4 linked regions of the Diceros bicornis minor genome follow. The protein of the gene in region 4 purifies or fractionates together with the protein of the main gene of each other region. This does not show direct contact. Links are inferred from orthologs where the notes say so. Each region holds a gene or a part of one and is shown on either strand. Other genes may lie near its edges. The genes, in order: IGF2BP3, KRR1, KRI1 and LIN28A.

Region 1 (7,845 bases), on a different chromosome or scaffold from region 4:
TTCTAACTGGTACATTTCCTTTTCCTTAGATAATGAAAGAATTGGAAAGTCTGTTATGAAGTTAGATATACCAAACAAATTTATACTTCCCTCTTTTCTGTCATGACCAGAGTTCTGATCTTTATTTTTTAGAAGACCAATAGCAGCTTATGTATATAATTACAAACGCACCCAAAACACCACTACCTAGAATCCAGCACTGTAGCTGTTAGCTTTTTCAGTTAAAGTTAAATGATTATTCGTTTGTTTTGTGCTTTTCCAAGCCAAATTCATATTTATTTTTTCTCACCGTCTCCACCAAACGTCAGTAAAATTAGCACCTTTCAGCTACAGAAATCGCTAATCCTTCAAGGTCGGTCTCAGCTTCTTTGGTCTTAGGGCAGCTTCAACGAAACGTGGTCTCCGCATAGTTGATTCTACCCGGAATTTTTCGTTTGCTTTTTTTGGAGAGGTTGTTTAGTTTTGCTTAGAACAACCCTGTGGACCACAAAGGGGGTTAGGAAGGGAGGGGGCAGAATGAGTCGATTTCTCTAGAAGCCCAGGAAAATTCAGCCATCTGGAAACGTATTTTGTCTTTCTAACTAAAAAAGACGTATAAATTCCAAGATGCTGGAAAGGGGCAGGGAAATGATGTGACTCCAGCTGCTGAGCATGGCGCAAACCCACGACCTCCCGGCGCTGGACGTTGGGGGAAGGGAGGGGTCTCTGCCGGCACCACGCGGTCAGCCCAAGGGGCGGGCTCCACTCGCGCACGCAACTACTCCCTACTCTTCCTTAGTTACCTCCCTCTTTCCTCCTTAAGGGTTGGGGCTGGGGGCTCACAGCTAATGGGCAGGAAAAATGAGAGCACGAACAGGAGAAGCCAATCTCACCCCTCAAGAAAACAAAACCAATGAGAGGGAGCAAAGGGTTATTTTCGCGCCACAAAAGATGGAAATCCAGGGGCGGCTCGGGGGGCCAATGAATGGAAACCAGCAAACGGCTCCGGCGGAGGCAGCCGACGATGATAGGCTTCCTCTGTCCACCAATCGGGTGAGAGAAAAAGCCCCCCCCCGCCCCCTCCCCAGCTAGGGGCGGCGTCTCTCTCCACGCCGGTTGCTCAACTTGGTCTCGGCGAGTCGGCCCCGTGGAGCGCGAAACCCCGCCCCGGGGCTGCGTTTGCGCGCCCTGTGCACCCGCCTCGCTGCCCAGCCCCGCCTCCGGCAAAGGCGCAGGGTTCAGCAAGGCTCCCGGGGGTCTTTCTCCGTGGGTACCGAGCATCCCCCAGCACCAGGGAGCCTCTTGCACGCTCGAAACAGGCCGGAAGTTCGGGAGGGTAGCCAAACACTCGCTGCTTGATCCGCCCCCGCGGCCCGCGGGCGGGCGCGCGCAGGGGAAGGACGACCTCAGGTGGAGTTGTGCTGTGAGGGGAACGATAGAGGCTCCCCGCGGCCCCCACGGCTAATTCGTCCACGCAGCTCCGCGCGGAGGGACAGAACCCGAGGCGGAGCCAGAAGGCGCCTGTCCCGCGGCAGGGCCAGGGCAGTCCAGTGGTCGAGGGCCTCCGAGGCTAGGAAGCGGACGACGAAGGATCTTCCCCAGTGTGAACTGCAAGGATCCCGCCCTCTTTTCTCCCGGCAGAGCCAGGGGAAAAAGGAAACAACCCCATCTTCTCATCTCCTGGAGCACTATTTTTGATTTTAAACAAAAATAACTGAAGGCATGTTCCGAAGAGAGTGCAGAACCAGGTTACCACTTATCACGCATCTGCTTTAAACAGATCAGAGTCCAGAAGAGCTGTTCGAAGGAACGAGAGGATGTTAAAAACACCTCCTATGAGGCCCAGGCGACGCGGCGGGCATTGTGTGCCCACCCGCGTTAAGGACTTAGGCTCTCGGCTGGTCTCAGAGGCAGCTGGGAGTTCGGAGGGGTAGCAACAAGAATGCCCTTTCCCCCTGCTCTACCTGCTCAACCTTCGCTCATAACCTGTGGATACAGCAACGGTAACCGACCTTCTAAACAGTTTTTCCTCTTTAATATTACACTGACCCATAAGAAACATTTTTATTGCCCTCAGGTCAGCAGAGAGGGAGGAGGTGCAGCTCTTCAAAGAGTAAAGAGGCTGCAGTTGGAAGGGCTCAGCCGCATCAGAGCACATACAATGGGTGGGATTCCTTCGTGGCGTTAACATTAATTAGGAGCTGCAACTGCTCCAGGACGAACCTGGAGTAGCCCATGTACATGGTTAATTTCTTATGTGAGACTCATTAAAAGACTGGAAGTTGGTTTGACCTTACATTCATTGTTGAAAATCCACCAAAGATATTTTTGTACTTGAAATGCCAGTAAAAAACAATTTACCCATGCTTTTTTTCACTCAGCCATTGAGTATATACTTATTCCTCAAATACTTGGAAGATTCGAAGTGGAGTAGACTGTATCCACCTCCTTTTTTGATATCTGAGCTTATATAACTCGTGTATGTTTTTAAGGTCCTAGATGGAGTATCCAATGTGTTACAATAATACACAGATTAAGTTCACAAGAGTCCCAGGAACATATTTCATCAAAATAGCACACACTTGTTTTAAATTCCAGCTGTTAGATTTGTTTGATAGTGACAGACAAGCAAGGGCTAGTATTTATGAAAAAAAAAAAACAAAACAATTTATCCCATGCTTTAGAAGTAGATATTTCTTTAGATCTCAGTTTTAATAAGAGCAAATAGTCAACAATCCAGAAAGCACCATTCAATTGACTTTGGAAGCAAGCTGAACGTATAAAATTTGTTCTTTTGAAAAATTACTAAAAGTTAAATGATCAGACTAGTTTATAAAATTTAAAGAGGCATTTAGAAAAGCAAATATTACTAAATGAATGAAAAGCATATTTCTCCAAATACCTTTTGATCACATGCAACAGGTACATGGAAAATAAATTCATAATTTTTGACATTTACATTTTGAATACCACAGAAGTCATAAAGGGAGAATACATATCTTTTCTTTTTTAGAACCAAAGTTCTCTTTTAAAAAAACATGAAAAAGGAAAAATAAGTAAGCTCTTTTAAAAAGTTAAACCTAACCATAAACTTAAAATTTTACCACCAAAATGTTCTTTCAAGATAGAGCTCATAATACAATTCTAAACATTATTACACAAGAACACGTTTGTCCCCTCCGTCTCAAAAATTAAAGACATTTCACTAAATCAAATGTGAATGAAAATATTGTGAAAGTGAGTTTACGTTTAAAAAGTTAGATTTGCTTGGCAGGAAAGAAAAACCTGTAAGAAAGAGCAGTTGCATTTAAAATGGATGATCTGACACCTTCCGGTTCCTTAACACAAAATTCTAAAATAAGTTCCTTTTAAAAGAAAAAATGTGTATACTCTTTACATCATGCAATAATTCCCACATATTTAAAACACTAATCTACTATTCATCTTTTAATTGGAAAATATACACTTTAAAATGCCGTGTGAGGGTTTGACAAAGGGAAAAGAACTATATCAATTGTCATAATTACTGAAGATGTTTCAGTGTAAATCTCCATATTTTTCTATTACACATTTTTCTACTAGAGAGCGTACCAAGACATTAAAGATTCTTGTTTATATTTCCATGCTATATAGAATTTCATTCACTTTTTAAAAATAAGCATTTTATATCTTTTCCATGGAATACCTGTTAAATATGCACCATAAGTATCTGGTGCAAATGAAGCCTTTGAGTGGAGTACACAATCATTAAACGACACTTGGAGATTTCCACAAGAACCCCAGCACGGCGTTCATTTCCGTATTCCTCGTCTCCAGTCCAGTCTGTTGGCCCAGAAGGCTCCACTGGGCCCAGACCCTCCCCCCAACACCCACCATTGTCCTCGTTATATACAGTACAGGGGAAATTATGAATGGTTCTCATGGCCAAATGTGGGCAAAAAAGAGGCAGAAAGAGACTCGAACAATATTTCAAGTGCGAAATACCACCTAGGGGTATCGCAGAGCAGTCTTCCTGTTTTAAGAGTCCCAAGTTCTCCAACTAAAATTCTTTAAATAAAAGTACCAGCCTACCCCACTCCTCCTCCTCTGGAAACTACAGGAAGAAATGGTTTCCGTTTAAATACCGACTTTTCCCACTCTGACTTCTCTTCTCCGGCCTCCGAGGCCCGGGACGCCCCCATACCCACGCCAGAAACCTCCGCCCCTGCGCTCCCCTCCCCCACCGGTGGCCAAGCCCGCCCCCGGCCTCATTTATCCCAGAGCCTTGTCTGAAGCGAGCAACCAATGGCAAACGCGAAGCCGAGAGCCACCGCGAGCGCAGGCGGAGGCGGAGGAGGTGTCGCCCAGACACCCGCCCAGGACGCCGCGGGCTCCCATCCCCCACCGCCCGGCTCGGGGCCGCCCCACTTCCCCGGGGCCCGGGCCCGTGAAGGGTGCACAGGGTAGGGCGCCTCTGCCGCTTCTCCCGCCCCCACCCACCGCACCCCACCCCCTCGCTGCGTTTCCGCCCCTGCAAGCCCTGGAAACGTGCTCGCGGCTTTGCCGAGGTTACACTTCTAATGTCATCAAAGCCACAAGGGGAGTTCGGAATTGTGACTCCTTGGTTTTGTTAATTACCTATTTTAAAAAATCGAATACGTATTTAAAAGTCCGGTAACTAGAGCTGAGAAATTGCCTAGTTAGCACCCCTACCCCTATCTCGTTAAAAAAAAAAAAAATCAATATTCCTCCCCTTTTCCTCCCCTCCCCCTCAGGATCCGCCCCGACCAGATAACCCTTTCTAAACTCTGTTGTGACAATCAGCTCCCGGAGCCGCGCTCCCCTCTGCGCCCCGGCTGCGGCTCCTTTAGCATTTTTTTGCCCTCTTCCTCCTTCCCTTCTCAGGGTCCCTCGCCCAATCTCATTTCCCCTCCCCCTCTTCCTCTTCTCGCTGGCTCTTTTTTCCCTCGAAACCCCCTCTAATTGAGGAGCTGGGATTCCTCACGTGAGACGTTGATTTGTAGTTTGAACACGTGGCTTATTCAAAAAGCCGGACACTCGGAGCGGATTTTTTCCGCCTCCTGCGCCTTCCTCCCTCCACCCCTCCTCCCCTCGCTCCTGCCAGTCACCCTTCGGGGTTTTTTATGGGGAGGCGGCGCCTGCCCTCACGTAGTGTGATATTTTCACCGTCCGCTGGCCTATGCCAACGGGGTTGGGGAGGAAGAGACAAAAAGTAGTTGACCCCCCCCTCCTCTCCTCCTTTTTCTCGATAATCCCGCCTCCTCCTCAGAGTTAGGAAGACTCGTTGATGCGTTTGGGTTGTAGCAAGGCTTTTTCTTTTCTTTTTTTTTTATATCTAGAGAAGGAAAAACAAGAACCCTTGGATCTGATTTTTCGCTCCTCGTTCTTGTCCTGGTTCTGACTGTGTTTGGGTATTTTAGCGGCGAGAAGACGAGGGGAACAAAACCCACCGGATCCATCCATCACTGTGGGTGGTTTTAATTTTTCGTTTCTCTCAATTTTTTTAAACAACCGCTCTTCACAATGAACAAACTGTATATTGGAAACCTCAGCGAGAACGCCGTCCCCTCGGACCTAGAAAGTATCTTCAAGGACGCCAAGATCCCGGTGTCGGGACCCTTCCTGGTGAAGACGGGCTACGCGTTCGTGGACTGTCCGGACGAGAGCTGGGCCCTCAAGGCCATCGAGGCGCTTTCAGGTGGGCCCCGGCCTGGCCCCGCGGGGCGCCTGCCCCAGCCCTGCGCCGCCCGGGCCTGCCGGGGTCGGGGGCCGGGAGCCAGGCCCGCGGCTGCCGCCGGGGCGTCCACACAGGGCCCGAGGCCCGGAGAGGGGGCGAGGCCCGGGCGCGCACCGGCGTGGGTCCGGGCGCTTTCCTCAGCGTGGGCTCGACCCGGCCCCCCGCGGCTCCCCTCCCAGCGCGTTTGCGGGCTAAGGGCCGACGCGCTGTCAGAAAGCGCCGGCGCCGGCTCCTCCGCGCTCGCCCCGCGCCCCGCCTGGGCCCGGGCGAATGCTCCAGGCTCCGGCACGCCGGGCCTTGGGGGCCGGGCGCGAACGCCGGCTTCTCCCTCCTCCTCCCTTCCTCTCTCTGCTCGTTACTGATGCCGTGGGGTTTGCTGCCCGCCGCCCGCCCCAGCCCCTGGCAGTGGGAGAACGTGGAGTGGCCTCGACCCCGCTGCGGAGTGAGGCCGCGGGCCGGTGCCTCGCGCAGGCGGCCCCGCGCTTCCTCTCCACCCGGCTGGAAGCGGCGAGTGCGACCTGGGTTCCTCCTTCTACCTCCCCGCGTCGGACGAGCGAGAGGGGCAGGAGGGCGGGGGCGGCCGGCGGTCGCCGGGGAGGGAGCCCAGCTGCGGTGCCGGGCGGCCCGCCGCTCTCCGCGCCCGGGCCACAGGCTGCGGCCTCCGGGGGTGGCGGGGCGCTCTCGGCGAGGGCGGGGGCCGGTGCGTGGCGGAGCGGCGGGCTGGGGCGGGGAAAGCTGCGCTCGGGGGCCCTCCAGGAGCCCCGTGCCTTTCGGGCGTAGTTTGTGCTCAGATGTCTCGGGGCGCTCGCTCTTCCTGCGCCTACCCTGCGGTCCTCGAGCCTTTCCCGCCACTCTGGTCCCGGCCGCCTTGAACCTGGGAGAAGGGCCCGGGCGTCCCCACCTGAAGAAAGGCACCGTAGCCCCTTCCCTAGGGTCTGTCTTATGGGAAGGCCCGGGGAGGTGGGCAGAGGGGCAGCGTACGTCCTGCGGGTGTTGTGGGGTTGGGCGACCCCCAGAGGTGGGCGGGGGAGGCCGGGGCGGGGGTAGAATGTTACCAAGGAGTGGGTCCGCCCATTGATCCCCCTCCCCACCGATCTGTAAGTTGCACACACACAGCCCTGAGGGTGTCTGCTTCCCACCCGTGAGGTGCCGGGCTTCTCTCTCGGCTTCGAGCCGCGTCCGGATGCTGTTCGGGGTCTCTGGAGGCCACTTGTGTCGCTGCTTAGGCTGTGCGGGTCTTTTGGGCCGGGAGAGCCACTAAACTCGGCCAACAGTCTTCCACCTCTTGTGTATTCGCAGGTAAAGTGGAACTGCACGGGAAACTCATAGAAGTTGAGCACTCGGTCCCAAAAAGGCAGAGGTGAGCTTATTTATTATGTTCTCATTGATTCTGTTCTCACTCTTTTGGGAGAAAAGACCCAACACAGCTGAAAACGACGTCTTTTCCTTTTATGCTTATTGGGTTTCTATATGGCTTGGCGTTTCTCGTCTTTTTCTCTTGCACTTAAGTTTATGGCAGGTGTCTGTGTGTGTGTGTTGGTAATACTGCAAAGAAATGGAAGGCTTGTCTGTGGCCCCTGCCACTGGATTGTTGTTATTGGTATGCAAGTCGCTCAAGGAAGCTCTCATAGCTAAATGTTATCCGGCAGAGTAGGTTAAGTTGCTACAACAGGAAATCAAAGTCTCAGAGGGCAGTTTTTGGGAATCTGTAGGAATTTGGAAGCAATGCGTAACCCCCTTCCACTTCTATAAGTACGGGATAGGCGAAAGCAGCTGCAGACACGCGCGGGGGTGGCGTGTCTTTCCTTCTCTGTCCCGAGTTGGCGGCGACGAGTCTGAGAGGCCTGGGAGGCCATCCGCACATCTGAGAGGAGAGGAATTTGCCTTTACCCTGTTAGCTCGATAGCCGGGATTGGAACACGTGAGTGAACGCCTGGGCTTCTCCTGCCCAGAAGCGCCTTTCAGTCACTCCAGAGTTTGTACAGGTTTCTGGTAATGCGCCTTGGTCTCCCGCTCCCCCCAACCCCACCCCACTGCCCCTGAAAATATTTTTGGTTACAAATAACCACCAAGAGATCGTGAACGCTGATTTGTGCCACTTAAGCCAGGGAATTGTACTTTTCGGAGAG
Region 2 (7,133 bases), on a different chromosome or scaffold from region 4:
CTACAGTCTCTTCCTAGATTCCCAGATTTCCTAGACTTTCATGCAGAACACTTCATTTTTATTGACATTATTTTTCTAAAGATAGGTTAATAACATGATTAGTTTACAGCTAGGCTGCTTTACTGTGCTTTTCCCTTCTCAACTGTTACCCCTAGATCCTTTTTAATATGTAATCTTATGGAGTTAGAACAGGCCTTATTTTACAGCCATAGTTGTTATTAGCGTTACTGATGTTGATAGAGATATGTTGATTGAAGATTTCACACCTTGCTGTGAGGTCAATTGGAATAGAAAGTAGCTTATGTATGTTAGAAAATAAAAACGTGTCAATCCTATGTATTTGAGAAAACTTGTCTTGATTGCTTATTTAAAAAAAAATTAGCAGAAGAAAACCCACATAGATTACTGTGCAAAAATCATTTTTATCCCTGTTAAATGAGTGCAGAAATGTTAAACGGAAAATAAATCACACTTATTTGCCCAGTTTTCCTACTCTTTTTAATAAGAGATAAATGCACTCTTCATCCCCCAACATTGTTAAGCCACATTCTGACTTCTCTGCCCACTACCCTCTGGGTTAATTTTGTGGGAATTAAGGTCTCTAATTCCAAAGGAGAGTTGTGAGGCCAACTTGCTTTTCACGGGAAAATGAATAAGCAGGGTAAGAGCTGGTGGAACTCGTCATCTGTAGGAGGATGGCTGCATGTGGGTCTAGATTGTTTATGAGGCCAAGGAAGGGAGAAGTCACAAGCAAAATGGGTCTGCCTGCTGTTGCTGTGACACAGAGAGGACTTTCCCAGCCCAGGTTTGTGACAAGAAACTCCTTAGTTTTTTCTTTCCCTTTTTAGTGTTACTTGTACAATTTCTGAAAATAACCTTGCAGATCTGAGTACATATTTATATTCAGATTTCCAAGGATGTTAAAATAAAATGATGTAAATTGTGATTGATTTACAATTGTATTGTTATTTAAATTGCCATCCTTTGTAACGTCTCTATACTGAGAAGTAACATGGTCAACATTTTGGTGACCATCATTTCATAGACTTCCCTGTGCACACTCAAACAGACAGTGTGATATAAACAGGGTCATGTGCACGCTTGTTTTTATCATGGATACCTATTTTTTTAACTCTTTTTGCCTACTTCATTTTTCTTTTCTAATTGCCTTCATCCCTAAGGTAGCCAGCCTTATAAGCTTGATATGTATCCTTCCAAATCTTTCCCATTGTACAGTCACATGTAAACAAATATATTCATATACATATATAGGCACACATATACACACACATATAATTATTATTATGTCCAGCACATAAAAAAGAACCAAGTATTTAGAACAGTGCCTGAAACATTACAGATGCTCAATAACTATTTATTGCATGAATGAATGGTTTGCTTTATAAAAATGAGATAATTAATATATAATTATTATATAAAAATATAAAAATGAGATATATATATAATTATATATAAAAATGTATAGAATTATTATCCCATCTTTCTGTATCTGGCTTTTATCACTCAATGCTTCTAGTTCATCTCTTCCATATAGATTTAATTAATTCTTATGAATGGCTATGTAATAGCTCACAGTTATGAAGGTAACATCAATTTATTTAACTATATCCCAAATTGATAGTCAAGATGCTTTTACATTTTTGCCACCATAAATAAATAACAGCTAACACTCACTGAGTGAGTACTGTTACCACACAAAGGGCACGATCTGCTCGCCGCAAGACAAAAGCCAATCATCACGAGGCAAGATGGTGGCAGAGAAAGGGCAGTTTATTACAGCTTGCTAGCAAGGGGGAACATGGCCGACTAATGTCTGAAAGAACCATCTCCCAGAACAAAGACTACAGGCCAGTTATATAGAGGGCTGGTCTCCGGGTGGGGGAGGCATCTGATCTCCAGGTGGAGGCATCTGGTCTCTGGGTAGGGACACCCATCTGGTCTCCGGGTGGGGGCAACCATCTGGTTTTAGTTCCTGGCAGTCTTTGTTTTACTGGATATGCATCAGAGACCAGAGCAAAGCCCTCTACCCTGATCTTTCAGTTGTCCTTGATGATGGCTATCAGCATAGACTCTCTGCCCAGGGGTCATCACATTCCTAAGGAACTCAAGAGAACAAAGTTATCAACTTGTAGCAGCTGGGAGGGGCCATAAAATCCGCAGAGTTAGTCAGAGGTCATTCAAAGTTACAATATTGTTTCTTTTCTACAATATGGCTTCCCTTATGTGGATCTTGTGTTGAGCTGGTATCAGTACAACCTGCAAAGTATTTTTTTTTTTAGCATTTTCCATGTATAAAGTCACTGAGGTAAAGTTTATCTCCCCATCGTAGGAAATTGAACAGGGGTGGTAAGAAATTTGCCCAAGGCTATATAGCCACTAAGTGGCAAACCAGTCAGTGTGGCTCCAAAGCACCTTTCACTGAATCACTTCTATACAAGGCAGTAATCAACACAGTTGTACACACATTCTAATGGAATGATGCTTTATTTCTAGTTGACAGTTTCCCAGGAGTGGAATTACTGTGGAAGAATATGTGTATATTTTATATTGATAGATTGTTTGCAAAGAGGCAGTAACAGTTTACATTTCCACCAGCAGTGTATGACAGTGCCCTTTCCTCCAGTAGATTATCATTTAAAAAAATTTTTTTATTATTTCTTTTTTGCCAATCTGGTGGGTGAGAAGTGATATTTCCTTGTTACGTCTATATGCTTTTTTGACCATAGTAAGGTTGAGCAGCATATGTTCATCAACCATTTGGATTTACTCTTACAAATTGCTGTATTAGTCAAGATTCTCCACAAACTTATAGATTAGTAATTATAGATTCCTGGCAAGTCCAAAATCTACAGGGTGGCCCAACAGGCTGGAGACCCAGGGGAGAGCTGATGCTGTAATTCAAGTCCAAAAGCTGTGAGGCTGAAAACCCAGCCTTCCTTCTGACACATTTGCAACAATTAATCCTTTAGTATAGTAGCCTTTCTGGAGGTGCTAATGGTCAGACTGCCTGGACTCGAAGTCTAGCTCACCACTTATAAGCGACTGAGTTCCTTAAAATAAGGATAATACAACCCTGCTTCATAGAGTTTCTGGGAACATTAAAGGAATTGCTTCTCACTTTTTAACTTTCACCTGTTGTTATTTGTTCACTATACGGATCTGTCATTGCTTTTTGAGCAAACTGTAAGACTATAGGAATGGAATCACTGACTGTCGTTTTTAAGACACAGGATAAAAGCAAAGATCTTAACATAATCATGTGTCTTGGGATCTTCTGTTCCCAAGTAACAGTCTGTTTTATACATGTACCTCATATACGGAAATCTAAATTTTTATAGAAGATACATAGGGTGGATTTCAGATAAACGTTCCTCCTTTCACTAACACAAGGAATTCAACCTATCAAAGACTTTCCCTAGTTGTGCTGCAGGAAATTTTAGAAAAGTCAAGCAATAAGACCAATCATCAAAAGAAGTCCTATCTTTACCATGTGTAAGAACTTTTAGATTCCTAGAAGTGTAAACACTTGTAGCAGTGATGAATTTCACACCTTGAAGTCAGCCATATGCAGTGCTGGGGTAGACAGGAGTTTGTCATTTCGGAAAATCTTAGGCTAGGTGAAACACTTCAGGAGTGTCGCTTAATTACTACCTCTCCGGCGGAGACAGCTAAATATCAAGACCCAAGAAAACTACCATCAGAAACAAGGATTTGAAAACTTACCCTCCAAAAAATTATCAATTTTGGAGAGATTTGTTTTAACTTTATTTTGTTCTAAGGATTAGAAATGCAAATAAAGTGCCAGGCACAAACAAATGGTAGTTATTACCGTCACTTCTTGCTGTCGAGAACCATATATTCTCATACTTGTACCTCTTCCCAACTCCTAAGACTTACCTGATGATTATATAAGATATTTATCGAATGAACGAATAAGTGACATTATATCGAATGAACGAATAAGTGACATTAATGACGATAGCATTAGGTGCCCTAACCCTGAAGTCCGACGTCCCGGGTTAGACACTGGGGCCACGAGAAAACTACAAATCCGACAGCCCTCAATGTTCCCACAGTGCGGAACTACAATTCCCAGCATGCAGTCAAACTCCGCAGTTGCAGCGCGGAAAAGAACCCCGGAAACGAACTCTCCGGCTCTCCACGGGCCACGCACGAGAAGCGCTGCACTGAGCAACTCCGCGGGCTCAGGCGTACGCACGAACGGAGACTGCGCACATCTCCTCGTCTGAGTTCTGCGGAACTCATTTTGAGTAGAGGGATTTTTAAGTCCGGTAGGATTTAAGAACCGTGTCACTTCCGGTAACACCGGAAGCAATTTGAAGATGGCGTCCTCCTCACTGAACGGCCCAGCCACGGCGGCTGGGAAAAGTGAGTCTCGAACCCAGAAGCCGAAGCCGGAGAACCGAGGTGGGGGTGTGTGGGAAGCGAAGCCTGGGGTTTGGGTGTGGAGGCGCGATTGTGTCTTTGGCTGGCCGGGGACGCGTACGCCGCCTGAGTCCGCTCTGGGAAGTGGAGGGCCACAGTTGCTGACGGTTGGGGGTGGCGGCCGGGTCTGGCCGGTGTGGTCCGGCCACGTGTTCCTGACTAATTGCTTGTCCTCGGGTGTTCTGTGAACCGGTGAGGACGGGGACCGCGCGCGGGGGCGGCGGCTGGCGTGGCCGAGCTGAGGGACGCGGGAGGAGCTCGGTGTGTCCGGGAGCGCCGGCCCCGAGGGCGTGGGACAGGCGCGGGGATGCGGGGCGGACACGGCCGCGTGGCCTGACCCGGCGTGTCGGTTAGTGGAGGTGTGGAAGCGTTTCCGTTATTCCTGTCCGTCAGACGACACGGCTCCTGCTCCTGAGGCTGCCCCACTTTTAAGTTGACGTGTCGCTGTGGCGTCTGGTTTTGTCTGTTTTCTTCCGAGTGAATGACAGGAAGAGGCTGGAGACAGGGCCCCGGGCCTGAGCAGCCAGTCCTACTGAAGGGTTAAAAGCCTGACCTCGCTCTCTGCAGGCGTTAGGGAGGTGCTGACGGGGCGGCGTCGTTCGTGGTGGAGCGTTCACGGCAGCGCAGTATACGCACCGCGCAGGCGTCAACCCGCACGTGAGCAGGGCCCGCGCCGTCCAGCGGAAGAGAGCGTCCCTGCGCCCGCGAGCCCCGCAGCCTCTCCGTGGGGTTCTCCCCCTCCGGCACGTCAGTCACCCTCTGAATCGTCTTGATCGCTCTCTTCTCCATCATCTTTACTACCTATGCGCAAGATGCTTTAATTTTGCCTGCTTTTGAATTTTATATAAATGAACGAGGACTGTAGGCATTTTTCTGTTTCTTGCTTTTTTTTTTTTTATTGATATTTTAATGGTTTCTAACGTGAAATTTTGGGTTGTACATTTTTGTTTGTCCATCACCCCATATATGACTCCCTTCACCCCTTGTGCCCACCCCCCACCCCCACTTCCCGGGTAACCACAGTCCAGTTTTCTCTGTCCATGTGTTGGTTTATATTCCACATATGAGTGAGATCATACAGTGTTTGTCTTTCTCTTTCTGGCTTATTTCACTTAACATAATACGCTCCAGGCCCATCCATGTTGTTGCAAATGGGACGATTTTATCTTTTTTTATGGCTGAGTAGTATTCCATTGTATATATATACCACATTTTCTTAATCCAATCGTCAGTCGAGGGACACTTAGGTTGCTTCTACTTCTTGGCTATGGTGAATAATGCTGCAATGAACATAGGGGTGCATAAGCCTCTTTGGATTGTTGATTTCAGGTGCGTTGGATAGATTCCCAGTAGTGGGATGGCTGGATCATAGGGCATCTCTATTTTTAATTCTTTGAGGAATCTCCATACCGTTTTCCATAGAGGCTGCACCAATTTGCATTCCCACCAGCTGTGTATGAGGGTTCCTGTTTCTCCACATCCTTTCCAACATTTGTTGTTTTTTGTCTTGGTGATTATAGCCATTCTAACGGGCGTGAGGTGGTATCTTAGTGTTGTTTTGATTTGCATTTCCCTGATGATTAGTGATGTTGAGCATCTTTTCATGTGCCTATTGGCCATCTGTATATCTTCCTTGGAGAAGTGTCCATTTCCTCTGCCCATTTTTTGATCGGGTTGTTTGTTTTTTTGTTGTTCAATTGTGTGAGTTCTTTATATATTATGGAGATCAACCCCTTGTCAGATGTATGTTTTGCAAATATTCTCTCCCAGCTGGTTGGTTGTTTGTTCATCTTGATTCTGGTTTCATTTGTCTTATAAAAGCTCTTTAGTCTGATAAAGTCCCACTTGTTTATTTTTTCTTTAGTTTCCCTAGTCTGGGTAGGCATGTCATCCGAAAAGATTCCTTTAAACCCAATGTCAAATAGTGTGTTGCCTATATTTTCTTCTATGAGTTTTATAGTTTCAGGTCTCACCTTCAGGTCTTTGATCCATTTTGAGTTAATTTTTGTGAATGGCAATAGCACATGGTCCACTTTCATTCTTTTGCATGTGGCTGTCCAGTTTTCCCAACACCATTTATTGAAGAGACTTTCCTTTCTCCATTGCATGTCCTTAGCACCTTTGTCGAAAATTAGCTGTCCGTATATGTGCGGTTTTATTTCTGGGCTTTCAATTCTGTTCCATTGATCTGTGTGTCTGTTTTTGTACCAGTACCATGCTGTTTTGATTACTATTGCTTTGTAGTATGTTTTGAAGTCAGGAATTGTGATGCCTCCTGCTTTGTTCTTTTTCTTTAGGATTTCTTTAGCTATTCGGGGTCTTTTGTTGCCCCATATAAATTTTAGTATTCTTTTTTCTATTTCTGTGAAGAATGTCATTGGGATTCTGATTGGGATTGCATTGAATCTGTAGATTGCTTTAGGTAATATAGACATTTTAACTATGTTTATTCTTCCAATCCACGTGCATGGGATATCTTTCCATTTCTTTATGTCATCGTAGATTTCCCTCAATAATGTCTTGTAGTTCTCATTGTATAGGTCCTTCACCTCCTTGGTAAGATTTATTCCTAGGTATTTTATTCTTTTTGATGCAATTGTAAATGGTATTATCTTTTTGAGCTCTCTTTCTGTTAGTTCATTATTAGCATATAGAAATGCAACTGA
Region 3 (7,379 bases), on a different chromosome or scaffold from region 4:
TAGCCGCTGCGCATGTCTTCTTGGCTGGGGGCCGGGGATGCCAGGGACGCCCCTTAAGTGCTGGGATGGGAGTGGGCAACATATCCATTCCTCAGCCCTGGGCATCGCTCATCTGGGCCAGCGAAGTTGCCACCACCTCGGTCCCCAGGCTCCCGCCTCCCCTCCCCCACAGTCAGTTCCCCTCAGAGCCGCCAGGGGGCGCCTGCGAACTTCTAAGTCAGATCCTGGCTCCTCGGCTCAGAAACCTCCCACGGTTCCCATCTTGTTAAAAGTAAAAGTCGGGTCCTCACCGCAGCCCACAAGCCTGAGCTGCACTCCTCCTCCCCACCACCTGCCCTCAGCTCCTCCCTCTCTCTCCCTCGCTCTTCCTGGACACACCAGGCACGGGCCCACCTCAGGGCCCTTGCATCTGCATTGCCCTCCACCTGGCATGCTTTTCCCCAGATATCCACACGGCGCCTTTTCTCACCTTCAGGCCTCAAATCAAATGTCACCTCCTCCGGGTGGCCCTCCCTGACCTATTTCAGCGGCTTCCTTTCCCCAGAGACTATCACTTACCCTGTTTTATCAGCTCCAGAGTATTTACCACTCTGAAAAGATTTAATTGTCTTCTCCCGCCCTAAACGATAGGCATCCTGCGGCAGGAGCCCCCCTTCCCCCCGACCCGGCTCGCTCTCCAGTTGGGCGCCTAGAACACAGTAGGTGCTCAATAAATGCTCGAATGAAGGCCTCCCACCGCGACTCTCGCCACCCAGGCTCGCCCACGTGGCAGCCGCAGCGTGAGCCTCCCTCCCTCTTGCATTTGCTGTGCCAGGGCTGGCTCAGTCTGGGCCAGAACGTGATTCCTCCTTCGCTCACCACACTTCCCTTTTTATTTTCTTCGCGCTGCTTAACGCCATCTAAACCCGCGTAGTCCCTGGAACGTGCGCTCCCCACGCCCGGAACGGTTCCTGCGCGCAGTGAATGAATGAAATTAAACGCTCCGCGCATAGTAACGGCGAATAAATGTCATCGCGTGACTCAGTGCTGGAACCCGGGACCGGGCGGCCCCAGCCCTGCCTCCCTTCCCCCCGGAGGTGCCGAGGTCCCGGCGCAGCTCGCGCTCCTCTGCCCCTGACCTTTCTCCCCTGGGTCAGTTAAACCGGCCTTCTTTCCCGCCCGCCCGGCGAGTTTGAAAACCGAAAACCCCGCCATTGCCGGCGGTCCACCGGTCGCCGCGGCTCGGCCAATCAGGAGCGGCGCCGCCCACGCCGGAACGCGAAACCTCCCCGGCGACGCGTCGCCATTGGCTACGCCGGCCGCGTGGGCGGTGCGCCGCAGGGCCCTGCGCAGGGCAACGCGGCTGGGGCTACAGTGTAGCGAGTTCGTAAGAAAACAAATCGGCGGCGCTCGGGGGCGGGGCCTGGGCGCGCTGGCTCCGCCCCCTGGCGGCCAGCTCGGCGGCGGCGGCGGCGCCGGCTCAGAACAGACCCCGCCCGTCGAGGAGGAGGGAGGGTGAGTTGGGGGGAGACCCGGCCCCCAAGGGGCGGGCGCCGGGCCGGGCCCTGCGGGCGGCGGAGGGTTGGGCCCCGCTCCCAGCCCCTCGCGACCCGCTGGCTGACAGTGGGAGGAGCTGGCCGGGAGGGCGGGGGTCGCGCCGGAGCCCCCGAGTGGCGAGCCGGGCCGGGAGCCGCGCGCAGGCCGGGAGGGCTGTGGGGGCCACGCCGCCGGGCTCCCCCGCACTGATCGCGCCGCGGTGGGGCGGGGGGCTTCGCAGGCCGCCCGCGTCGACATGCTGCTGGAGGAGGTCCGCGCCGGCGACCGGCTGAGCGGGGCCGCGGCTCGAGGCGACGTGCAGGAGGTGCGCCGCCTTCTGCACCGGGAGCTGGTGCACCCCGACGCCCTCAACCGCTTCGGCAAGACGGCGCTGCAGGTGAGGCCCGGCCGGCCCCGAGCCAGGGCAGGGGGGAGCGGGGCGAGGACTGGGACCCCGGCCCCCTTCCCTCCCGTCTCCTGGCCCCGGCGGGGGCCGACTGGGGTCCGAGCCTCCATTCTCGGGCCGACGTTGCTCCTTGGAGTCCCCTTTCGTAGGTGGATGGTGGATGAGCTTGGTGGGGGAGGGGAGGGCTTCCCATCTTCCCTGGAGGACTCCTTGTTTTCTTAGTGCGGAGGATTCAGTTTCCCTGGAGAAGTGCTTATTCCGTGGATAAGGGTTCGGTTTCTTTGGATCTCGGTTTCATGGGGACGGCTCTGGTTTCTTGGGGCTTCTATGGGGGCATCTGATCCCTGGAAGGAGGAATTTATGTCTCCAGGGCGTCCCCATTTTCTGGGGGTTTCTCTTAGACGTATCCAGTTTTCTGGGGCGGATCTCCATTCCTGTTGTCTCCCCCCCCCCAGATTCATGGTATATTATAGGGGGTCCTAATGGGGGAACAGTTGCAGATTGCATGAAAATTCTTATCCCCTGGGGGACATTTTACAGGCGAACCCCATTTTTTGAGGGGGCCAGGTACCCGGGATCATCCCCATTATATGGGGCGGGGCTGTTTCTTGGAGAAAGAGTGTCAAATTCCCTGGGCATCTCCTTTCCTTTGAGAGGGCTGTCAAATTCTTTGGGGACAATTTCTCATTCTAGGAGGCCTATTTCCTGGTGATTTCCCATATCTAGAGGAGGGGGGGCTCTGGTTCCTTGGGGAGGGTCTTAGATTCCTTGAAAGTTTCCATGGGGCTATTCCCTAGGCGGGTGTCTTATTCTTAGGGGCGTGACCAGTTTCTTGGAGTCCCTGTTCCCTGGAGGCCTTGTTCTCTGGCCTCCTTGTTCTCAAACAGCTGCCCCGGGGGCTTGTGTTCCCTGGGGTTTCTTCGTTCCCTAGAGGATCTCTTCTCTGGCGTTCCCTTCTCTGAATGACCCCTCTCTCCAGGGACCCCTTTTCCTGGAACCCCTCCCTTGAGGACCCCGCCCCTCTGCCCCGCACAGGTCATGATGTTCGGCAGCCCCACGATTGCCCTGGAGCTCCTGAAGCAAGGTGCCAGCCCCAACATCCAAGACGCTTCCGGCACCACTCCGGCTCACGACGCAGCGCGCACTGGATTCCTGGACACGCTGAGAGTCTTGGTAGAACATGGCGCTGATGTCAACGCACCCGATGGCACCGGGGCGCTCCCCATCCATCTGGCGGTCCGGGAGGGCCACGCGGCTGTGGTCAGCTTCCTGGCTGCTGAGTCTGATCTCCATCACAGGGACGCCAGGGGGCTCACACCCTTGGAGCTGGCTCGGGGGAGAGGGGCTCAGGATCTCATGGACATACTGCAGGGGCCCACGGTGGCACCGCTGTGACCCGGCGCCACCCACCCCAGCGTCAGGACCGGCTGGGTTCCATGTCAGAAGAGGAGGAAAGAAACACTTTCTCCCCCAGCTCCTCCTGACCGCTGCCGAGGGGGAGGGGCCCCAGTTTGTGGCTTGTTGGTGTTGATTTCTAGAGTGTGTGTGTTTGAGGGGCATTTCTCATTTCTTTTTCTCACCCCTTTTGGTGTATTGAGTAGAGAAGGGCTCCTGCAGGCAGCAACCACTTAAACGGTTCAGTTTCCTCCACGCCCCAGGCTGCTGGGGCTGCAGATGAGGCCCAAGGGCACAGCATTTAAAGCCCCAGCCCGAGTGAGGTCATCGCGTCCAGGGCTCCTGGAACCTGGCGACCTTGGCCGGCTGTACCCAGAGAGAGACCTCGAATGTACACACTGCTTTCGGGCATGGCGGGAGGGGGGAGTATTCCAAATCAATAAAAGGGTAGTATGAGTTCATTCATATTCTGTTGGAAGCTTGTTTTCCAGTCTCTTGTACAGCGTTAAAAAGAAAAAAAGATTCTATTTATTAAGCTTTATGGAAAAAATTGTTGTGTGTGATAATTTAATGTTTTTACCCATTAAATTAAGACTTGTGCGTGACCACAGCGCCGGTGGCTTGTGATTTTTGAGTCTGCAGCGGGGAGTCGAGCGTCCGCGATGTTGGCGGGGTAGGCCCGGGGGTCGCGGGTCTCGGATGATTTGGGGGAGGGGAGAGAGTGGTAATTCCCAGGGCGCCAGGGTGAGTGAGCTGGGTGGGGCAGCGGTTTGCGCTGTCGGAACGGAAAGGAGGCAGGAAACCGCGAGTGGAGAAAGGGCCCCCAGATGTCAGCTGGGTGCCTGGAGCCGTGGGGGTGGGGGTGGGCGGTGGCCGCAGCCTTCCCCGCAGAGGTGTGACCCGTGGGCGGGGACTGCGGGCACAGGGCGTAAGGGATCCCGGAAGGGCCGGGGGCAGGGTTAGGCACTGCCAGCTAGGCCCCGCCCTCTTTAAAGTTCGCGGTGGGCGGGGCCTGGGCAGCCCCGCCTCCTCCAGGGCAGCTCGCCGCACGCGTGCGCAGTGGGCCGCAGAGCCGCCATGCCGGAGCCGCGCGGGTCGTCGGCGCTGCGGGTGAACGCGGCTTTCGCCGCGCGGTACGGCCGTTACCGGGAGCGCGAGGAGCTGCAGCGGCGTGAGTGCGGGGCGCATGCGCGCGGGGCGCCTGCGCGTGCGGGACCTTCGGGAAGTGGGGGCGATCTGGTCCCCCCAGGCTGATCTGGGGGGCTCTCCTCTCTGCCCCGCAGTGAAAGATCGCTACGGGGACCGGGACAGCGGCGGCGACTCCAGCTCCGAGTCTGACTCCAGCGACGAGCGCGTGGTGAGCTTCCCCGCCCCGGCCCGCATCCCAACCCCGACGTACCACCCAACCCATCGCGCCCTACGGGAGCGTCCAGCCCCCGCCCCCAATCCCATGAGGGACAGACAGCGCCCTCCCGTCCCCAGGGGGCTCCAAATCTCCCCCTGCCTCCCCTCCCCCGCCACGGATCCACTTACCCATCCTGATGTGTGAGGTGCCACCCCTCCGTCCCCCTTCGTCATCCCCAAAAGTCTCACATTTCTCAGTGTCCTCCGACTCTGTCCACAAAGTGCGGCATCCCTCTGCCGCCTGGGGCGCCCAGCTTCTCCCCACATCAGCCCCGATCTTCTTCCCGGCCTCACCGTGCAGCCCAGCCCCTCCTTGCTGTCCCCCTGTGTCCTCTCTGCCCCATGTCAACCTCCTGTCGTCCCAGGAAGTACCCTCCCCTTGTCCGCTACCTTCTCTGTCTCATATCCTGTATCTATGTGTGTCCCGCCCCCGCCCACCCCCAAGAGGGCGCCTCTCCTTCCTCCACCTGTTTGACCCCCACACACACTCAGACCCAGCTCTCCAGCCCCCCACCCGCCTCTCCCCAGCAGGATTCCCCCCTCCTTCCTCCTAATGTAGCTCCTCTCTCCACCCTAATTCCCACCTCCTCAGCCCACCTGCCCTGGTTGCTTACTGCCCCCCATCACCGCCCCCACCAGGGCTCTCACCACCTCCCTTCTCAAGTCTCCCTCCATCCCTTTTCCTGCCTTAGGAGTTTGACCCCCAGCAGGAGCGCGACTTTTACAGGACTCTCTCCTTGTTGAAGAAGAGGGACCCCCGCATTTACCAGAAAGATGCCACCTTCTATCAGAAGCCAGGTCTGAGGCTGCTCCTGTCTGACGCCCAGGTCCCTCATCGCTTTACCAGCCGTAGTTACTATTTAATGAATCATTGCACTCCAAAAGTCCTTAGCAGAGTGTCTTAGAGTATTACCTGTTGTTAATAACGGCTGTTCTGAGTGTGAATTACTCACTGAACAGTCACCGCCAGGTGGGATCCTGCTGTACAGCCAGGACCTGGTGGCTTGGGGATCTGAAACCTCGATCCGGCCCAGCCCAGGGGGATTCTCTGCCTGGGGAAGGCAGGAGGTTGTGGGTGATGGCGGGTTTTCTGGTGGCCCCGCAGCATTGTCCTCGCAGAGCGAGGAGGAGCCCGAAGCCAAGGAGAAGCCCGAGAAGATGCGGCCGATGTACCTGAAGGACTATGAGAGGAAGGTGATCTTGGAGAAAGAAGGGTGAGGAGAAAGCCTGACTCCCCTGCCCCCAGCCTTCCCAGGGCAGGTGGAGAGGTGGGTGGGGTTACCCCCGAACCCAGCACACCCCATGGGAGCACCCAAGCCCTGTCCCCCAGCCCCCTGAGGGCCAGACAGCCCTCCCTATCCCCAGGGGGTGGCCCCCTGGGGGTCTTAGGGGCCGAAGTGGGAAGGAGCTGGCGACTCACTGAAAATGAGGATCCCCGTGTACCCCAGCTCCTGCTGGTTACAGCTCCCCGCCCCCTGGGGACAGACAGGCCTTGGGGGGTCTGTTCTCAAGCCTCCATCTTTCCTTGCACAGCAAATATGTTGACGAGGAGAACTCAGATGGGGAGACCTCCAGTCAGAGACTCCAGGTGGGTGGGGTGGAGGCCGGGTGGGGGGCTGAGGGGCCCAGGGCTGGGCCTGAGGCCACGTCACTCTCTCCGCAGGAGGTCTCGTCGAAAAGTTACGTGGAAGAACAGAAACAGCTCAAGGAAAGGTGAGCCTGGGCTGCTGAGCAGATAGGAGCTGAGGCGTCTGGGGTGGATGGGTCTGAGTTCAAATCGAGCTCTGTCACTTAATGGCTGTGTGCCCTTGGGCACGTCACTCACTCTCTCTGTGCCTCTGTTGCCTCATCTGTTCAATGAGGTTGATAATGCTCTCTGTGTCACAGCACCGCTCTGAGCTTGTCGGGGTTAATCTCGGGGCAGTGGGCAGGGCCAGCCGGCCCACCCTGAGGCTTGTTCTCTTGTGTGGGCAGCTTCCGCGCGTTCGTGGAGGACAGCGAGGAAGAGGACAGCGCCGGGGAAGGTGGCTCTGGGTTGCTGCAGAAACGTGCTAAAACCAGGGAGGAGAAGGTGGGTGCTGGGGCCCAGCTGGACCGGGGAGGGGGCGCTGGGGCTCCCGCAGACCCTCAGCGCCGGCATTCCTCCAGGCCCAGGAGGATGCCGATTACGTCGAATGGCTGAAGGGGCAGAAGGAGATTCAGAACTTGGACACCTTGAAAGAACTGGTGAGTTCCCGTGCATGGTCACTGAAGAACTATATCCTGCCCCATCTCCATCCAACCTTTTCCCAGAAACCAACGCTATAGAGGGTAGCCAAGGGCATATCCTCTGAGGATGGGGTGTGCCGCTCTCTGGGCCTCAGTTTCCACATCTGTAAAATGGGGATAATGCCACTCATAGGCTGGCCGTGACATTTAAGTTACTTAAATCCGCTTGGTGCCCGTGCCCGCCCTCCTTCCCTGCTCCCGAGTCCCTGACCTGGGTCCTGTCACCCCCTCACCCCCAGAGTCACCTTAAAGAATACTGGAACAACCCAGAGCTGGACGAAGGGGAGCAGTTCCTGCGGGATTACATCCTCAACAAGCGCTATGAGGAGGAGGAAGATGAGGAGGAGGAGGAGGAGGAGGAGGAGGAAGGGTGAGCTGCCATGTCCCCCAG
Region 4 (7,511 bases):
GAATCAACCCAAGCTCTAGTCACATGCTTATCGTAAAGACAGAGCTGCCAGGTAAGGCTCAGGAAATTTCCACCAGTCCTCTGTGACTGTTTGGGGTGGGGAGGAGGGGGGGGTGGTGGTGGTAGACAAATTCTTGATTCCTTATCCCAGCTCAACTCCCTCTTGATAACTTATTCAACTGTGGAATACCCCTGGACATTCCAAAACCCCAAAGTCCAGATTATCTCCCAGCTAACCCATCTGAAAGAGCTTGGTGTGGGCTCTACTCCCCAAATCTGAAGGTCCCTGCTTTCCTCTATGCCATCCAATAGACTCCCAGTTGCTTTCGATCCTGTTTAAGTGGGCTGAGGTGTGGATCCATTTGCTCAGGAAAATCTTCCTTGGGATTTGGATAGCACCAAGGAATCCTAGATGATGAGGGGCTACGTTCCCCTCAGCCCCTCCCTATTTAGCAGCCTTTAGAAGGAAGGCAAGATGTTGGGTCTGACTCCTTTATTCCAAGCCTCCCCAAATTGGGGAAGCTGTCCAGTCCATCTCCAGACCAGGAGAGATTTTAATCTCTTTGTGATCAGATAAATGGGAGAGTGGGGGAGCTGGCCACCCCGCTGAGGAGGGCCATTCAAAGCTGGTTCCTGTAATAAAGTGATTTAATAGATCTAAAGAGGCCAATTCCCTTCTTTCTCCCACAATTACTTCCTGTGGGTTATCATTCACATATGTAAATGAGACAGGGAGGGGGCAAAGCCACCAGCCAGAACTACATGTCTGATGGGAGTAAGGGTGGGGGAGGAACAGGGTGCAGCAAGAGGCTAGCTAAGCATCCTGCTGCAGGCCCTCCTGGCAGATGTTCCAGTATCCCAGTGACCCCAAGTTGCCAACATTTACTGGCGGGTCCCCATCTCCCTTGTTCCTCCCCACCATGTTGTTGCTGAGAGCTGTGCTTGGAGACTTCCCTGCTGCCTCCAACTAGTCCACCCAGCATCTCCCTTCTCCACCCCTCCCCCTCCAGAATACCATCCCTCAGGCTCCAACTCTTAATCCCCACATCCTCCTTTCCCCTCCCCCACAGCTCCTAAAGCCAACCTCCCCGAAGTAACCCCTCCCTGCCCGGCCTGGGTGTCAACCTCCTGGACCTGGGATTAGCAATTTCTTCTTCCCATGTCTAGCCCCAAGCTCCAAAGCGGGAAGGGACACAGGCAGCAACTTCCTTTACATGGTTGTTACGGGTGGCTGGTGTCCCAGGACCACCGGAATGCTTCTAAGATATTCAGGATGGGGTGAGAGGAAGGGGAGGCCAGGGAGGAGGGAAATGTTAAGTCTCTGACTCCTTGTTTGAGGCCAAGAATGTTAGGACAGCAATCAACGGCTGTCTGGGGCCATAAATGCCAAGCCAAGAATAGGTCCAGAGGCTAGCCTCCCTCCACCCGCTGCCCTGCGACACTGAATTTCACTCCCACTGGGTTGCCTTGCTTTAACTGAGAACTTGGGGTTGCAACCTAACTCCCTCCCAGCCTGGTCCAGGAATCTAAGGCCTGGGCTCCTTAGATTTTCCTTCCTGGTAGGAACTGGACAGCAAAAGCCACCAAACTGGACAGCCGGTGAACTGTGTTGTGTGCCTGAGATGGGTCCTCCGGAGGAGCTTTCAAGTCACCAAATAGATCCTTCAAGAATCTGCCAAACCCACCCAGGTCCCAGGGCTTGAGTTTTGGGTGACTACCTGGGTGAGGAGACCTGGTTGATTTCTAAGCTTTACCACCATTGGGTCCTGGAGCAGGGTTTCCTCCCTCTCACTCACCCAGGGAGCTCCATTCACACGTTAGTGAAAGGCGCTGGGCACTCAAGGCCCTGCTCTGGCCAGGCATGTGCTTCCCTGACCAGCCTGCTCGCCCTCCCCCCACCGGCAAGCACAATACAACCTTAGTTTCTGCCACATGGGGTCACCTCCCTGCCCCCTGGCCCCTTCCCAGGGGAAAGAGGTAAAAGACACGTGGTAAGCCAGAGGGGTTCCCGGAAGGGGTGGGGGGTGCTGATAATCGGCTCTGCCCTGCACTCCCGTCCTGTTGGAGTTACCAGGGACTCAGTACTGGGGTGCCACGGCAAAGATGGGAACGCACAATGAGGGCCCTTATCTCCCTCAATCCAATTAACCGAGTCTGCCCGCCTACCCTAGGATATGCGCGCCAACATCTCCTTCCCCCGGCAAAGTTACCAGAATTGGTCTCACCTGGTGCACAAAGACATCCACTGGGGGGTCGAGCGCGACCCCGGCGCGGGCGGTCATGGACAGGAAGCCGAACCCCATGCGCACGTTGAACCACTTACAGATGCCGGCACCGTGCAGCAGCTGGGGCTCCTCTGCCGCCCCAGCCGCGTCCTCCTGCGACTCCTCCGGCGCCTTGGCGCAGCCACCTGGAGATTGGGAGGGCGCTCAGCTGGGGGGCCACGGAATTCGAGGGCCCTCTCAGAGACCCGGCAAGGAGACCCCAGTGTCCAGCCCGCGTGGGTGGTCACCCAGGAGGCTGCAGCTACCAAGCAGCCAGCGAGAAACGACCTGTCCTGGCCGCCTTCCGTGCTCCGCAAGCTTACACTGAGGCCAGTGGTGCCCCAAAGTTTTGCTCTTCTTCCCACAACATGCTGCTCGGGGACAGACAGCCAGACAGTCCCCGCCTCGTCTCTTTCCCCCCGCATCCCCCTAGCCTCGGACTGCACACTGCTGGGACACCAGGGTTCCTTAGTCCAGGGATGGCCCCCTGAAGCAAGAGGCTGCCTGGACTTGGGGTCCTTCGGCCAGCCTGGGGACACTTTCCCACCTCCCTTTTATGTGGCTCCTGGGCGCCCCTGCAGCCTAAGGTGTCCCCAACACGTCCCACGCTCGAACCTGCGAACTGCTGGTTTGACACAGAGCCCATGGTAGTCGACTGAGCCTGCGGCCCGGGCCTCTGGTCCGGCCGCTGCTGGCCCCAGAGAAGTCCGGAGGCAAAGGGGTGGCTCGGAGAAGAGGCTGCTACATCTTCCCCAGCACAATAGCGGTGGGAGGGCCCACGGCTTTTCAAAGGCTCCCAAATTCTAAAAGACAATGACCCAACCCCCCACGGGCAGCCCCCTCCCCTCCCCTCCCTCTTCTTTCCCCTCCCTTTCCCTCCGGCTCCAGCTCCGGCCCTCCCCCACCGCTGCGGTCTCTGACACCTCTGGGGTGTCCCTTCTCAGAACCTTGAGGTTTGACACCCCCTCCCCACACACACATCTGGAGACGGGGGCGTCAGACCTAGAAGTCTTGACTACCCCGGAATTTGGGATCTTGCACTTTAAGGCCTTCAGTGGGGGTCCCCAAAGCAGCATACAGGTGGGGGGCCTGTGGGGTGGTAGTTTTAAAACCACGTGACTGCTCCCCCCCACATTCACACACCACCCCCACCCCCGCGCAGATAATTATACATTCCAGAGAGTTGGGGGAGGGAGGTGTGAGCCTGGCAGCGCTGGCCAATCAGAGACACAAACCACCTGTCAAGGGAGAAATGGATGAGCCCTCCCCCTCCCCCAGCCCTTAAGCTCCCCTCCCCCTCCCTTCCCCTTCAGGCCTCCGAGCTGACCCGGCTGCTTGGCGCTGACCCGCCCTCACCCCCCACCCTCGTGTGCTTAGATAGACCTGGAGTTCAGGACACTAGGAAGCCTGGAATAGGGAAGCAGCGGGGAGGCTGGAGACCCAGCAGGGCTGATCTCTGGTCCTTTCCAAGGCGCTGCCTCTCAAAGTCTGTCTGTCTCTGACTAACTGAATGCCTCTGCCTCCCTAAGTTTCCGACTGAGTTTTTCTGGATCTCTCAAAGCACTCCTAATTGATTCTGTGTAAAGAATCCTTCCCTCTTTCCTTCCAAATCTGTCTAAAATTGGTCCCATGTAGAGCTCCCTGGGAGAGCAGTAGGAACCCAAAGAGGCTTGTAGTGTGTTCCTCTCTGCCAGCCGCCCTCATCTTGTCCCCATCCCCACCCTGTCCCTTTCCCTTGCTGAGAGAGGGACTAAGTGGGTAGGCGAGTGGAAGCATTTCCTCCAGTACTCCAGACACTCTTAGGCTCCAGACCCTCCTGGTTTCAGAGTCCCATCCTAGAGTGTGCTCCCCTCCCCATAGTGGAGTTGGTGGGGGGAACTGGAGTGAGAGATCTCCTCATTTGAAGAAGTAGCCTCCCCTTCTAGGAGATAAAGAGGGTTGGCCAGGGGGGTGGCTAGTGCCCTGGTCGGAGATGGACAATGGCCCCGGGGCTCAGAGCACGGCCCTGGCCCTGCCCCTTCACTTCCGGTGCTCGGTTCAAACTGGACAATGCCAGCTCCGGCCAGTTCCCCTCCCCCACTGCTACGACCCATTTAAAGGGACAGAGCCTGCTTTCGGGGGCGTCCGCTTGCTCTGAATTCAATCTTCTCCACCAAATGTGCAGAACCTCTCGTGCTTCTCATCCTGTGCCCGTGTGTGTTTGCGCACGTGTGTATTTGAGAAAGAGAGAAAGGGGATGAGTGGGGGTAGGGAAGGGGAGATGGGAAGCAGAGCAAGGAGCTGTGGAGAGATTATTTCTCCCTCTTTCCTACATGGAGCGCTCTCCAAGAGACTAAATTTAAGTGTAAGGGATGGGGAATATGACTTTGGGCAATAAAAAGGACAGCGGCGGCCTTTTGCTACTCAGCCTAAGAAATACATATCATTAACAAATATCGTTAGCAATGCTCCACTCCCAACTGAGGACCCTAATTTAGATCTTCCAAGAGTTCTCCAAGTACATCAGCCAAAGCATTTTTATTTATATAATCCTCCCCACCTAAGAGTCTTATCTCCTCCTGTTAGTAGCGCCCTTAACATATATTCATTCCCCTACCTCTGTTCCTAAGATTCAGGAGCAGGTGACTGACGTCTGGCTGAAGAAAAGAGAGGGAAAAGGGAGTTTCGCTTGGTCCACTCGCAAGAGAGATTTGTTCCCGCGGCAGGCTTGACCAGCTTCTCTGTCCAGGGTCCTGAGGGCTCTGGGAGCTCTGTCCACGGTGCTGAATAAAGCCACGCTCTCCTGGCTCTCAGCTCCCAGCTTCGAGAATGCCTTTTTGAGTACTCACCTCCAAGTCCTTCCCAGAAAACCTGATTCTTCTCAAGCTCCCAGTGACCCTGATACACTTGAGATGAATGAAGGAACTTTCTTGAGTGCTAAAGAGAGGGCATTTCCAGCAGTATGTGATTCTGTGAGAGCAGTGCAAATATCTCAAGCTCCTCTTCAGAAAAATGGGTATAACTATGCATTTGGCTATAGAAGGTGAAGGAGAAAGTGATAATATTTTATGATTCAAAGAAAACCAGAGTAGAAGAGAGACTAATCTCTGTTTTCAAATTATTTTCCTAATTATTAGCGCTTTCCTTAAGAGCACGGGCATTGGAGTCGCTTGCCCATGTTTGAATATCACCTCTAGTATTTACAACTCTGTGACTCAGAGCAACTTTTTTAACCTCTCTATGCCTCAGTTTCATTCTCTGTCCAGTGGGGATAATGAGAATATTTAACTCTTAGAGTTATTTTGAGGATAAAGTTAGGTCATGTAGGTAAAGCTTTTTAAATAGTGCCTGCCTGATAATTAGTTCTTAATAATGTAAATTATTACTATTATTATAGCTATTGTGCACATGCTTGTCTCTATGATCTAGAACCTGCTGGATCATTTGCTCCCTGAGGACTGGGACCGTTCATGTGTTATTTCTTTCTGGATCTTCTCCCACATCCTTACCAGTATGTAGCATAGTGCCTGGCCCACAGAAGACACCTAAAAAGAGTTTCCTGGATAGGCTTTTGTTGAAATAATGAATTTTATTGCAATAGTCATAATATTTATTCTCCTAGGCTGCCCCTTTCAAGTCTAAACAATACAAACCCAAGAGGGGTTCAGGAACTCTTAAAGTTGCATATGTGGAGGCAGAGGATGCTTTAGGAAGGGACACATGGCTCCCAACATAATTGATTCTTCATCCCCAATGGGTTGTTTCCATGTGGAAGATGGGAACTCCTGACCAAACCTTCTTCCTCTCTTGGGTCCACATCTCAGGGAAAACTTAGTAAGTACCTACTATGATCCAGTCATTGTGCTAGCTCACAAGTTTGGTGGAGGAATTGGATAAGTGATATGCACTAAATAGTATGATGACCAAAAATGTACCCCCCAAAAGCAAAGAAGAAACATTCCCTGCCTTCCAAGAAGTTGCAGTCTACTTAGGGAGATAAGACCCGATATAGCTAAGTATTGCGAGTTTCTTCTGTATTGGTTTCTGGGAATAGTAATATCTAGGTAAAAGGAAAAAAAATGGCTCTTTAGACAAGACAAAAGTGTCCAGTATCAACACAAAGAACATCTCCCCTTTAAAGTACTTTGCCAAGTTCCTCTTGTGTAGGTTCATATCTTCATAAAAGGAAGAGCTGAAAGAGGTCTGAGTAATAATAACTCATTCAACATTTAAAAAATATTTATTGAGGCTGGTCCAGTGGCATAGCGGTTAAGTTCGCACCCCTGCGGCCCAGGGTTCGGAGGTTCGGATCCTGGGTGCGGACCGACGCATCACTTGTTAAGCCATGCTGTGGCAGCGTCCCATATAAAGTAGAAGAAGATGGGCACAGATGTTAGCCCAGGGCCAATCTTCCTCAGCAAAAAGAGGAGGATTGGTAACAGATGTTAGCTCAAGGCTAATCTTCCTCACAAAAAGAAAGAAAGAAAGAAAGAAAAATAAAAAATAAAAAACATTTATTGAGCACTTCCTCTGTGGCAGGCATTGTTCTAAGTCTTGGAAATACATCAATAAAAAATGCAAATGAAAATCCCACCTTTGTCGAGCTTATATTCTGATAGGTAATAATAATAATAGCTATTATTTGTCAAGAATAAAGGCACTTTTCTTATCTCATTCAACCCTTTCAATATCTCTGAGTAATAGGTATTAATATTCCCACCTTACAGGTGAGGAAACTGAAGATTAATGAATCAACAGAGCTTGCCCAATAATGTAGCTCAGCTAATATGTGGCAGAGGCAGATTTGAACCCACATGTTTGACTCCAAAACTCACATTCTTTTTACAGTCCTAGTATGTTGTTATTGTAACTGATGCTGTCCCCATTTTACCAATGAGGAACAAGATATGTGGAAGCCAAAAGGCTGTGGAAGGAGACTATATATTCAATATGATTGGTAAATAGGACTCAAGCCTGTGATTCCTTTTCCCCGGGTCAGAGCTCTAGTCTGTCATTTCTATTGATCACCCTCCCCAAAACTCCTTGGCTTTCTAAATCAAAGAGCTGGCCAGAGCCAAAGCAGGTCCTCTTTTAGGCGATCATCTACATCCAGCTCCCATTTCTGAAGCGTTTTGAAAACTCCGTGTAGGATCCAGAGTGGTTGTTTGGAGGTAAAGCCCTGACCATCTGCTAACATGAATGATGGAGTGCATTTGAGAAAAGTATTTCCCACAGTGTGTCCCTCAGGATACTAGTTCCACGGGATGAT

The links.
Region 1: the proteins of LIN28A (region 4) and IGF2BP3 purify together in Homo sapiens (affinity purification with mass spectrometry; 4 studies listed by BioGRID and IntAct, with this or other methods). This does not show direct contact. The link is inferred for Diceros bicornis minor from reciprocal best matches to the Homo sapiens genes LIN28A and IGF2BP3.
Region 2: the proteins of LIN28A (region 4) and KRR1 purify together in Homo sapiens (affinity purification with mass spectrometry; 3 studies listed by BioGRID and IntAct, with this or other methods). This does not show direct contact. The link is inferred for Diceros bicornis minor from reciprocal best matches to the Homo sapiens genes LIN28A and KRR1.
Region 3: the proteins of LIN28A (region 4) and KRI1 purify together in Homo sapiens (affinity purification with mass spectrometry; 3 studies listed by BioGRID and IntAct, with this or other methods). This does not show direct contact. The link is inferred for Diceros bicornis minor from reciprocal best matches to the Homo sapiens genes LIN28A and KRI1.

The regions. Positions count from the first base shown.
Region 1 is NC_080742.1:48,762,404-48,770,248, reverse strand, and holds the start of IGF2BP3 (insulin-like growth factor 2 mRNA-binding protein 3), read left to right. Parts: upstream 1-4,844; 5' UTR 4,845-5,502; coding exon 5,503-5,677; intron 5,678-7,015; coding exon 7,016-7,076; intron 7,077-7,084; exon of another isoform or gene 7,085-7,845. UniProt on the Homo sapiens protein: RNA-binding factor that may recruit target transcripts to cytoplasmic protein-RNA complexes (mRNPs). This transcript 'caging' into mRNPs allows mRNA transport and transient storage.
Region 2 is NC_080764.1:43,844,318-43,851,450, forward strand, and holds the start of KRR1 (KRR1 small subunit processome component homolog), read left to right. Parts: upstream 1-4,131; 5' UTR 4,132-4,364; coding exon 4,365-4,449; intron 4,450-7,133. UniProt on the Homo sapiens protein: Part of the small subunit (SSU) processome, first precursor of the small eukaryotic ribosomal subunit.
Region 3 is NC_080769.1:8,701,079-8,708,457, forward strand, and holds the start of KRI1 (protein KRI1 homolog), read left to right. Parts: upstream 1-4,378; 5' UTR 4,379-4,393; coding exon 4,394-4,487; intron 4,488-4,599; coding exon 4,600-4,673; intron 4,674-5,412; coding exon 5,413-5,518; intron 5,519-5,825; coding exon 5,826-5,934; intron 5,935-6,253; coding exon 6,254-6,308; intron 6,309-6,383; coding exon 6,384-6,433; intron 6,434-6,694; coding exon 6,695-6,791; intron 6,792-6,868; coding exon 6,869-6,946; intron 6,947-7,227; coding exon 7,228-7,358; intron 7,359-7,379. Other genes in the region: CDKN2D (cyclin-dependent kinase 4 inhibitor D), read left to right, coding at 1,772-1,912, 2,957-3,316.
Region 4 is NC_080752.1:42,286,973-42,294,483, reverse strand, and holds the start of LIN28A (protein lin-28 homolog A), read right to left. Parts: upstream 3,001-7,511; 5' UTR 2,910-3,000; coding exon 2,879-2,909; intron 2,410-2,878; coding exon 2,225-2,409; intron 1-2,224. UniProt on the Homo sapiens protein: RNA-binding protein that inhibits processing of pre-let-7 miRNAs and regulates translation of mRNAs that control developmental timing, pluripotency and metabolism.